Macaca mulatta: one gene and its partners. The protein of the gene in region 2 purifies or fractionates together with the protein of the main gene of each other region. This does not show direct contact. Links are inferred from orthologs where the notes say so. Each region holds a gene or a part of one and is shown on either strand. Other genes may lie near its edges.

Region 1 (3,415 bases), on a different chromosome or scaffold from region 2:
TCAGAAGACTGAACTGCAGGGTTCAAGCCTTCCGGGGATTTGCCTCAGTTTGGGGCCTTGATGACTGCCTTGCCTCCTCAGTATGTGGGGGCTTCATCTCTTTAGAGAAGTCCAAGCCACAGCCTTTGAATGTAACCAACTCTACTAATAAACCAGCTCTGAAGGTGTTTTTGTGTGTGTGTGTGGGGGGGGGTTGGCGGGAAGATATGAACAAACACAAAGCCCTTTCATCCTTACCTCGGAGGCTGGGACTTTTGCCCAAAGTTCTCCTGGTACATCCTTTCTGCTTCTGCCTCAATAGTTTTCATTTCACACAGAATAAATTGTCTCGCAGGAACACCAAGAAACAGAGCCATAATCTTAAATTCCTATGGTTTGCTCCTTCTTCGGTTAACAGTAGAGCCTATTTATATTGCATGCCCCTCCCACCCCCACTATCAGGAAAGTATAGAAAGTCACTAATCCTACAACTCTCTTGCAAAATGAAAACAAATGCTCCATTTTTAGAAAAACAATCCTTTAATAAAATTAGTTCATCTAAAACTCCCCAATGCCTAAGGTTCTAGTCTTGGAAGGGTTAGCTGCAAAATTCCAGTTCGGAAGCCAACGGAGGCTCAGTCCAGACAGGGATTAACCGACTTGTGCTGGTATCTAGGTGCTTGGATTGCCGAGTTGAGTTTGCTGGAAGGGAAATGGGGAGGCCCGACAGGCTTGGCTGCCAGTCGGCTTCCGCGAAAACGACTCTTGCTGTCCACATAGCCAGCCGTGAAGCCAAACTGCAGGCCTCTGCCCTCCCCTAAATGTCCTCGTAGGAGGCAGTCACTCGGGAGGAAGATGTGCCTGTTACCAAGTGCTTCGTCCCGGCCCCAGCGCAGACCTATGAATGAAGATGGAGGGAGATCTGATGTGAAAGGCCTGGGTCCCGGCCGCAGAGGGGGCGCCAGACCGAAACCAGCGATCGTGTCTCTCCCACCAAAGCCTCCAGGCCAGCGGCCACGTCTGAAAGTCCTGGGCTAAGCACCACGCCGGGGGAGTGCCGGACACCCTGGCTGCAGCTGCCGAGGGCCTCACTCACCTTCAGGGCCGCCGGCCTCTCGGCCTGGACTGCCCACCTCGGCCCTGCGTCAGAGCGGAAGGCCAAGTCTTCCAGAAGGTGCTGCGGCCTCCCCGCAGCCCCTCAGCGACTCAGGATGGGGCAGCTGGCTGAGTCACGAGCGCCGAGGCGAGCAGGTGCGGCGCCGCCGGCCTCCCCCCGGCAGGCTCGGGTCCTCCGCGCCACGGTGGTCCCCGAAGAGTGCCCAAGCCGCGTCCAGAGGGCCCGAGCCCTACCGGAGGGCGGCCGGCGGATGGGGCAGGGCCCGAGGCCGACGCGGCAGGCGGTGCAGGCCAGGAGGGGGGCGGGCGGGGACTCGAGGCCGGGCGGCAAAGGCGGGCGATGGGAGGGGAAAGGAGCCGGGAGCCGCGGCCCGCTTGCCCCGCAGTCTGAAGTGGCTCAGCTCTTTCCATGAGGGCGGTGGTGGCCCTTAAAAGGGCCTTTGTGGTGGCATGGGGAGGCCTGGCGGCCGGCCGCGGCGCGGGCCCTCTTAGTACTCCTGGGAGGCCTGGGTGGCCTTCTTGCCGCCCGAGGGCGCCTTCGGCCCCACGGTGGCGCTGGTCTTCTTGGGCAACAGCACGGCCTGGATGTTGGGCAGGACGCCTCCCTGGGCGATCGTCACGCCGCCCAGCAGCTTGTTGAGCTCCTCGTCGTTGCGGATGGCCAGCTGCAGGTGGCGGGGGATGATTCGCGTCTTCTTGTTGTCGCGGGCCGCATTGCCCGCCAGCTCCAGGATCTCAGCGGTGAGGTACTCCAGCACTGCCGCCAGGTACACGGGCGCGCCGGCGCCAACGCGCTCGGCGTAGTGGCCCTTCCGCAGCAGCCGGTGTACACGGCCCACTGGGAACTGGAGGCCGGCGCGCGACGAGCGCGACTTGGCCTTGGCGCGGGCCTTGCCGCCAGTCTTGCCGCGGCCCGACATGCTAGCGAGGTAGACCGGTGAAGTACAACGGTTCAGAGACACCCCAACAGAAGCCCGCCGCAGTGTAACTGCTGTCGCGCGCGCGCCGTGAGGCCGCCTTTATAAGCCCCCAGGACACACCTCTGCGCCCTCCTGATTGGCTCTTTTCTCCAATACCCGCCTCCGGTTGGTTGCGGTTAACCCTTGGGTGTCGCGCCTCGGCTGAGGGAGCGCGCGCTGATTGGTCGAATTTGAAAACCTTTTGCCCGGGGAGAAAAGGCGAGGAGGCGGGGTAGCACGCAGACGGCCAAACACCCGCTTATGTAGCCAATCCTTGTAAAGCGCGCGAGATTTAAACACTACAGTCGGAAGGCAGAACCGGAAGACAAAAGGGGTGGAGTCTGAGGCCACCTAGAGAGCGTCTGGGAAATCTGTGCTGGCGTAGGATGTTTAAAGGAAAGGGGTCAATACTATAGCTACCCTTTCCAGGTCCGGTCACTCCACACTCCCTTCTCCTACCTGACAAAGGGAGAATGGAAAAGGGAAGAAATTAGACCCCTTAAAGTTTTCTTTTTCTTTCTTTCTTTTCTTTCTTGTTTTTAATAGACCAGGTCTTGCTTGCTGTCACCCAGGCTGGAGTGCAGTGGTGTGATCTCAGCTCACTGCAAGCCTCGGACTCCTGGGCTCAAGGGATCCTTCCTGCTTAACCTCCCGAGTAGATGGTACTACAAATGCTCCACTACAGTGGGCTAATTATTTATTTTTGTAGAGACGGAGTCTCGTTTTGTTGCCCAGGCTGTCTTGAATTCCTGAGCTCAGGCAATCCTCCTGCCTCGGCCTCCTAAAGTGCTGGGATTACAGGCATGAGCCACTGTACCTGGTGTCTTTGAAAGTTTGACCCCATGCCAGGAAACAGGATAACTTCAATTTTGTGGCCCTCCATGCCACCTGAAGTATCAGGATTTAAATGTTTATTCAATATGTTCTGTTTGGTCTCAGTTCTGTTCACTTCTTGTTAGACGGGGTCTGGTGGGGCAGAGAGATAGGCATCCTGTTGGAGGAAGTACCCCCACCTACCCTCCCAATCCACCCAAAAATGCCCATATAGGAAATATACCTACAGGAACAATAAGAAATAGACAACACTTTATTGTCTCCATTGAGAGCATGTGGCCCCCTGCTTACTTCTTACTAATCAGAACACTTAATTTACAATCAAATAACAGGTCACTGTGGAGCCTGTGTCCCTAGCCCTGGCCCAAGTTCTATCCCAAAAACCAGTAGTTCCTTGAGAGTCAGGACTCTGAAATGTGACTGTGGATAACTGCAAAAAAAAAACTTCTGTATCCCACCCTGTGAGGCTGCAAAGACAGGATGGAGAGGGAGAGTAGCAAGTTGCAGAAAGTCATAAGTAAAATCCA
Region 2 (3,513 bases):
GAGCAGTGCGAAGTGATGAGAATACAGGTTGAGCAGTTTCCCTTATCCAAGATGCTTCAGACCAGAAACTTTTCAGACCTTAAAATACTTGCTTCGTATTTACTGACTGAGCATCCCTAATCCAAAACTCTGAAATCTGAAATGCTCCAATGAGCATTTCCTTTGAGCATTACGTTGCCACTCAAAAAGTGTTGACTTTTGAGGCAATTTGTTTGGATTTCGGGACTAGGGAGACTCAACCTGTAGTAGCTTACCATCTTTAGTTGGGAACATGCAACACATGTGAATCTATAGTACAAAGCAGCGACACTGAGGGCAAATACTCGTTTCCCTTCATAAAGAACCAGAGCGATGATGATAAGATCCAGTTTTGGAGTGCTGTGATCGACTCTTCCTCACTGACTCGTCATCACAATCATAAGATACAGAAGCATTTTCCCTGTTGCACAAATTCAGATTCAACTCACTTTTGGTGCTGATGCACAGGGAAGCCTTATTGGCTGTCCCTGTCAACTTCCCCCCGAGTTTCTCAATCATAGCCTTCACTTCATCCTTGTTCCGGGAGAGCTTCCCAAGAGTCAGGATCTTCATGTTGGATAATGGCTTATCTGGGATGAAAGGAGAGAATCATTCAGCAAGGCCAACTCTGGTGCTGCTCCCCAGTAAGGGGAGGTAGAGGAGCAGGCGAGCCAAGCAGGGAGCTCCTGGGGAAAAGCCTATGAAAATACACTTGCGAGAAAACAGGACGGGACAGCAAGCTGCCACCTGAGCACCTACAGATGTTCCTCAACACAGAAAGGACTGGGCAGGAAGCAAGCCACAAAATGCCACTCCATGGCCAGGCCAGCCTTGCTGGTGTGAGCCGGGCAGCTGGGGGTTACCCCAGGTCCGCTCCATGGTCAGGCTAGGAAGGCTGCATCTGCGGATGAGGGACCAGGATGGGAAGAGGGGTAAGGTCACATGAACCCCCAATTCCTTCTGTTATTCTCCCAAACTGCAATTCTTATTAATTAACCCCATTTTAAAATGAGACATGTCCATGATAGTTCCTCAAAGGAGTGGCCAGCACAATCACACTGAGCTGAGCTAACCGATTCTAGGCGAAAAGCAGCTGCCTGGTGTGCACTGAGCCAGGCCAGAAAGGCCTGGACAGGGGTGTGCCTTCTGTTCACAGCAAACAACACAGTGCTGGCGACACGTTTCCAGAACTGGAGATGCTGCAAGGAAAAGTCCTTACTGCCTTCCCTGTGAGGGCAAACAACTAGGAAACACTGACAGTTTAAGTGAAACTGGTGAGGTCTCCAGAGAACACAATTATTGATTTATGCTGAATTGCAAGTCAGGGGAAAGCAGAGGAGGGAACCCTCCATGGAGGGGTCAGAATGCCAGCCCCCACCTGGCCCTTCATGTGGGCACCTGGACCCAGGCTGCCAGCAGCACAGTGGACTCGGGATGACCACCCACACACACTGCAGTGACCACTGGTCCCCTCTCAGGATATGAAAAGGAGGTCAATAACAGGTTTATATTCAAGGACGGAACCTTCATCCTCCACCCACCAAACTGTGACCTTTGCCATCAGACTATGCCACATGTCTCTGAGTAAATAAGCAGCGGGTCACTTCTCCTGCCAAAAAAATACATTGCTCTCACTGTCTTGGTTGGCTTGGGGCATTTCGCACTAGTGCTGATCAGTAACTCCCTCTGCATACAACAGAGACTCGAGCATCACACCAGGGTCACGATGACTGGTGGGTGCAGGGCGGCCTGGAGAGTGAGGCCTGGGATGCTGCTCTGCAGTGAGGTCAGGCAGGAGACCCTGCGTGGTACTCCAGGTAAGGCTGTCGACCTAGCCTTTCTTAGGAGCCCCTCTCCTAGCCTCCCAGAATAAGAGTCACTTGTTCTTTTACAATGTTTATTTTATTTTTAGAGAGAGGGTATCACTCTGTCGCCCAGGCTGGAGTGCAATGGTGTGATCATAGCTCAGTGCAGCCTTGACCTCCCAGGCTCAAGGGATCCTCCACCTCAGCCTCCTGAGTATCTAGGGCTAAAGGCACATGCTGCTACACCCGGATAATTTTAAACATTTTTGTAGAGATGGGGGTCTCGCCACATTGCCCAGGCTGGTCTCGAACTCCTGGCCTCAGCAATTCTTTTGCCTCAGCCTCCCAACGTGCTGGGATTACAGGTGTGAGTCACTGCTCCCAGCCGATACTATGTTCTTAATACCCTCCCACCTTGCTGTGGTTGGGGGTGTAACAAGCCAAGGGAAGAGGCCTATCCCCCGCAGGACAAGGCTTCCCCATGGTGGGGTCAGCAAAGAGAGACCCTTGATGGATACTTTCTTCACCAGCTCCACACCACCAGAAAGTAGTGGGCAAACAATTCCTGCAAAGCAATTCTAAGACTTGGGCCCTAAGAGCTGTACCTGCTGAAGCAGAGGAGTTCCCAGCAGCAGGCGCCGAGGCTGTGGAGGGTGGGGGCGTGGCCACCACTGGGGCGCTGGTTTCTGGGGGGAATATACGGTCCTGCTTTTTAACCTTCAATTTCTTGAGGTAAGAGATTTCTCGGAATTCCTAAAAAATATTAAGTTTTAGTTAAGAAGCTAGCTCTCCCTTGAAGTAACCACCTCATAGACCAAAAAGGACTTGGCTTGTCCAAATTAAAGAATCTCTTTTTTTCTTCTTATGATAAAGAGTAACAAAAAATAGAAAAATGTGAGGCTTCCAGAATGAAAGACAGTATTATTGCTGCTACAGTACTTATTTCCGGTACTTTTACATTTATGATAGGGGTGGTATTAGGGCTGCTTTAAGAGAAAAATCTTTCCCAGAAAAAACAAAAACACAAACCAGTGGCCAATTTGGTCAGGAACCACCGCTGGAACTGCTGTATGACTATAGCCTCCCTGGCCTCGTTCCTGAGTTGTTCCCTTCGAGAGTTAATAGGCCTCTGTGGGATCACACGCCTACTCCAGAACCTCAAGACCCCCAATACCATACACACTGGGAGATTATTACCCAAAAGGAAATCACAGTATTTGCTTTCCTTTTTAGAAGAAGGAAAAATGAATGCAGAGAGCCCTACGGTATTCACTATTCACTCTTCACTCTTCACAATTCACTCTTCACTCTGAGTGATTTACAAGCGGCCTTGCTCTAAATGGTCACTCAATAAGTATCAAATACATGAAGCTCAGGGAAAGAGCCTGTGCTCCCAGGTCTTCGTCCAATCAAGAAACTGCTCTTTCCATCTATGCCTGTGTTCAGGGAGTCAGCTGGATACAAGAGGTCACAGACTGCTTCCAACACACACTGACCACCTAATATGTGCTACCAACCATAGTTTGGTTAAAAACACAGTTTCTGCCCTTGAGAAAGTATCTCATTTGTGACTGAGCATCAGCTATAGGAACGTGAACTTTAACACAGGAGCTAAGCTATGCCAGAGGTGTGCTAAGGTGATGTGAGACAGGGAACGCTAGCATGCACCTGGAGGCAGTGATCTGCTAAG
Region 3 (3,946 bases), on a different chromosome or scaffold from region 2:
TTATTTCAAATTGCTATCTAGAGTTACCGAAAAAGAAAAAACAAAAGTCGTGTGTGTAAATAAGGGGTAGGGGACCAAACCAGAGAAGGTGTAAAATGACAATCCCGGGAAGCCGGGAACAAATGCGTCCTGCGTCCAGAGATTCGTAATCCAGGCTTCTTAGAAGAGGGAGGGAGGGATGAGGAGGAAGGGGTTCAGGGTGAGGGCAGGGGGCAGAGGCCGGTGGGGGAGGGGATGAGCCGTCTTAACAAATGTCAGGGTTGGGCGCGGGACCGACCCTGCAGGAAGCGCCCCCCGAGCCCGGCACCCCGCGCTGGCTAGGGCCCCCAAAGTTGGGTGGCCGGCGATCGGCGGCCCACTCCATTGAAGGAGAGGCGCCCCGGCCTCCCTCGGCCCCCGCACCTCCTTGAGCCCGCACACCCTGGTCTCTGGCCCCCCCAGGGCCCACGACGGGCCTACACGGAAGCTGGCGAGCGCAGACCCCGCCATACATCCCAAGGCGCCAAAATTCCCTAGAAATACACAAGTCCGCTTAGAGGAGTCCATTCCGGCTGCACACAAATCAAGAATCCGGGCCGCAGGGGCCTCCCCGCCCCACTCAGCCCGGCTGCCCTGCGCGGCCCGGGAGAGCCCGCAGCCAGCGCGCCGGGCAGCCGAGCCCGCCACGGCGCCCAGGGCGCTCGCGGCCCTGCGGGTCGCCAAAGAAAAGGACGCCTCAGAGCCCCCAAGTTTGCGGTGGGACCAATCTGGGAAGTGTGACCTTCCAGGGGAAGGGGGAAGGAGGGCCGAGAGCCAGAGATTGCCACTAGAGAGGTAAATACATAGCCGCCCAAAAGAAAGCCAAGGAGCCTCTCCAGGGCCCCCGGCGCTGCGCGCTAGCCAGTTCTCAAGTCCAACGCCTGAAGGAAACCCACTCTCTACCCCGCGCGTCGGGCGCAGCACAGTCACTCGGGGACCGCAGCGGCAGCCAAGGGGTTAACCGGGGAAAGCCCAAGACGCCACAGAAGAGGGAAGGAAGAGAAGGAGAGAGAGGGAGAGAGAGCAAAGAAAGAGCCACACAGTCATCTTCCCAGGGTGAAGAAACAAACACCACCACCAAAGGGGGAGGGGGAACCAGAGCGCAAAAGAAAAGTTATTCGGATTTCCCACCCCCGCCCCACCAACAAAGCCCTGCTTGGACAGAGAGGTCTCCCCAACATCACGAGGCAGCAAACTGAAAGCAAGAACGTGGCGAAGTGCAAACAAATCCAGTCCACAAAAGGCAGAAAAGTTTGGAGAGTTTCGGGCCGCCTGGGCCACGAGCGGGGGAGGGGAGGGAGGGAGGGGAGGAGGCGGGGAGGGGGAGGCGGGGAGGGGGCAGGGCAGGGGCCGCATGCGGGGCCCGGCGGGCGGCGCGGGCGGGCGGGCAGCGGGCGGGGGCCGGGCGCGGAGGCACTTACGGTTCGGGCGGTGGGCGAGAGCGATCCGTTGGGGAGGTAGGGGCTCGTCAGGTCGGGGATCATGATGAAGGGGTAGCCGGGATACGGTGGCCCCTTAAAGAGCCCTCCATCTTGCCTCTTGGCCGCTAACATGGCGGGGCGGCGAGGGGACGGCGGCGGCCGCGCGGAGCGGGAGAGAGCGAGGAGAAACTTTTTAGAAAGTGCCCCGAGGGGCTGGGCGCCCCGGCCGGGCCGGCGCAGGGCCGGGCCGAGCCGGGCGCGGGGCCGGGGCGCGCGGGGCGGCCGGCCCGGGGGGCGGCTCCGGGCGGCTGCGGGGCGCGCGGGGCGTACTCACCTTCTTCCAAACTTTCCCGGGATTTATCTCGGAAACTTTCGGAGCGAGGCGGAGGCCGTCTTTCCGCCTTCCCGGAGGGGTGGAGGTGGGGAGGGCGAGGGGCAAACGCCACGCAGAAGGGGGAGAAGAGGGAGAAAAAGAATCGGCGAGGTCGGGGGGGGGTAGAAAAAACAGGGTTACAAGTTTTTGCAATGGTGGCATCGCACGCACACGCCGCCCGCCGGGCCCCGCCGCCGCCCCCAGCCCCGATTTCTCCCCTTTCAGCAACATTTGCCAAGCCCAGGAAACAGATAAAAAACCCCACCAGCCCGAGGGGCTTTTCTTACCTCGGAATCGGAGGAGCTGTTTTGATTCGTTTCTGATTCATTGACTAGAGACGATTTGACATCAGCTAAATCCCTCTCTGCCGAGGAGTTTTCGGAGCTCTTCTCCTCCTGTTCGCCCTCGTCTTTGAAGGAAATCAGTTCGTCGTTGGCGCCTAGGTCATCCCCTCCACCGCCGTTCAGCTGCGGCATTTTTTTTCACCCACCAGCAGCAATTTTGGAAGAAAAATGAAGGAGGAAGAAAAGCCAAAAAAAAAAAATCACCCCCAAAAAGTTTTGCCCCCCAAAAAAAATATTGCAAGAAAAAGACGAGTCCAAGGTGAACTTTTTTTCTGCTTGGGGGTCTTTTTCTCCTGGGGAGGGGAAAAGAGGGAGGAGGGGAGGGGAAGGGGGGGGAGATCTTCTGCACGCGTGAGTTTGGGTTTCTTTTTTCTCTCGTTCCCAAGGATCCGATCAATGTGCAAAAAATAATAAATAAAAAAGGGGGGTAAAAAAAAAAAAAAAACAACAACAACAAGAAGTCAGATATAAAGAGCAAAGGGGGGGGAAGCCGAAGATACAGGAGGTGCTCGTGCCGCTCGGATTTGAGTGAGTTGAAGTTAGACTGAGAGCTTTTCAGTTCAAAGGCGGCGCTGATTGACAGATAGAAAAAGGGGGATCGAAATCCGGAGGAACGGAGTAGTCTGGGAGCGGAGATTATTGACAGGGCGAGAGGAACACACTGCCTTAATGAGATGCCGGAGGGCGGGGCCGGCCCGGTGACGTGTGCATAAATAAACAGCCGGGGTGGGCGGGGCGGGGGCGGCTAACAATGATCCTTTCGGGCGCCGGGAGAGGGAGGAGGGAGAGGAGGAGGAGGAGAGGGGCGGGGAAGCCGGGGGGAGACGGAGGGAGGAGTGTGCAGGGGGAGCGGCCTGCGCGGAGTGTGTGCGAGCCCGGGATTCTGGGCGAGGGTGCAGGGACTCGCTCCGGGTGGGGGCGGTTTCAGAAAGACAATGCGGGGTGGGAGAGGAGGAGAAGGGGGTGGCGACCAAGTCAGGAATCCGAGCCGAGGAAGGCGGAAGGAAAGCCCACTTGGGGGGCGGGGATGGGGAGAGGCCCAAAAAAGTGCACTTTAGAAATATTAGAAATAAATCTTAAGGGAGGGGGAAAAGGAAGGGTAGTATTGTGAGAAAGTGGTGGCTGGGGGCGGGGGTGGGGGGGTGCTTGGTGGTTAATTCAGCAGTGAAATCAGCCACACTTGGGCGGGATGAACAGAAGTGGTCAAAAGGAAAGATCAACCCTCCACTTTCAGAGAGCTTGGGGAAGTGAAGGGGCTGGTCAAAGTTCCTGGTCATCTACAATGAAAGAAACTATTAACCCATGAGGCCTCCCTCCTCCCTTTTTTGTTTATTAGTAGTGGATCATTTCATGAAATGTTAAGTCCCACTAGGATGAATATGCCGAAATGACTTTTTATGCAAAAAACAAATATTAAATGTCAGAAACATTAAAAGTACCCTGAAGGAATAATATATGATTCTTTTAAATGTAGAGTGGTGTTTTGCTTTTTTTTTTTTTTTTTTTAAACTGACGTTGGAGGTAGTAGGAAATGAGCTAGAGTCAAAGTCCTTTTTGACTTCGGAGGTGAAAAGTTTGGGCGTTAACACCGTCAGGGAAAATAAAACCGAAAGTTCACCAGCCCCTGGGATCAGTTGGGCTACAGTGTTTCTCGAAGGGGGTCTGAAATGAAATCCCCGAAAGACTGACCAAAATAATCAAGATGTAGGTGGCTCTGGCAGGAAATTGCTAACCAAACCAATGCTAGAAGACCTCTGGGAGAAGATGGGAAACCTGGGGCTTGAGGCAGG

What was found. Proteins that work in one complex are often made in the same cells at the same time.
Region 1: the proteins of PARP1 (region 2) and H2AX purify together in Homo sapiens (affinity purification with mass spectrometry; 9 studies listed by BioGRID and IntAct, counting the BioPlex papers as one, with this or other methods). This does not show direct contact. The link is inferred for Macaca mulatta from reciprocal best matches to the Homo sapiens genes PARP1 and H2AX.
Region 3: the proteins of PARP1 (region 2) and TCF7L2 purify together in Homo sapiens (affinity purification with mass spectrometry; 3 studies listed by BioGRID and IntAct, with this or other methods). This does not show direct contact. The link is inferred for Macaca mulatta from reciprocal best matches to the Homo sapiens genes PARP1 and TCF7L2.

What each region holds. Positions count from the first base shown.
Region 1 is NC_133419.1:119,778,701-119,782,115, forward strand, and holds H2AX (histone H2A.x), read right to left. Parts: upstream 2,091-3,415; 5' UTR 2,016-2,090; coding exon 1,584-2,015; 3' UTR 501-1,583; downstream 1-500. UniProt on the Homo sapiens protein: Variant histone H2A which replaces conventional H2A in a subset of nucleosomes. Nucleosomes wrap and compact DNA into chromatin, limiting DNA accessibility to the cellular machineries which require DNA as a template.
Region 2 is NC_133406.1:84,141,817-84,145,329, forward strand, and holds part of PARP1 (poly [ADP-ribose] polymerase 1), read right to left. Parts: intron 2,577-3,513; coding exon 2,429-2,576; intron 609-2,428; coding exon 468-608; intron 1-467. UniProt on the Homo sapiens protein: Poly-ADP-ribosyltransferase that mediates poly-ADP-ribosylation of proteins and plays a key role in DNA repair.
Region 3 is NC_133414.1:125,090,709-125,094,654, reverse strand, and holds the start of TCF7L2 (transcription factor 7-like 2), read right to left. Parts: upstream 2,801-3,946; 5' UTR 2,289-2,800; coding exon 2,100-2,288; intron 1,841-2,099; coding exon 1,774-1,840; intron 1,565-1,773; coding exon 1,440-1,564; intron 1-1,439. UniProt on the Homo sapiens protein: Participates in the Wnt signaling pathway and modulates MYC expression by binding to its promoter in a sequence-specific manner. Acts as a repressor in the absence of CTNNB1, and as activator in its presence.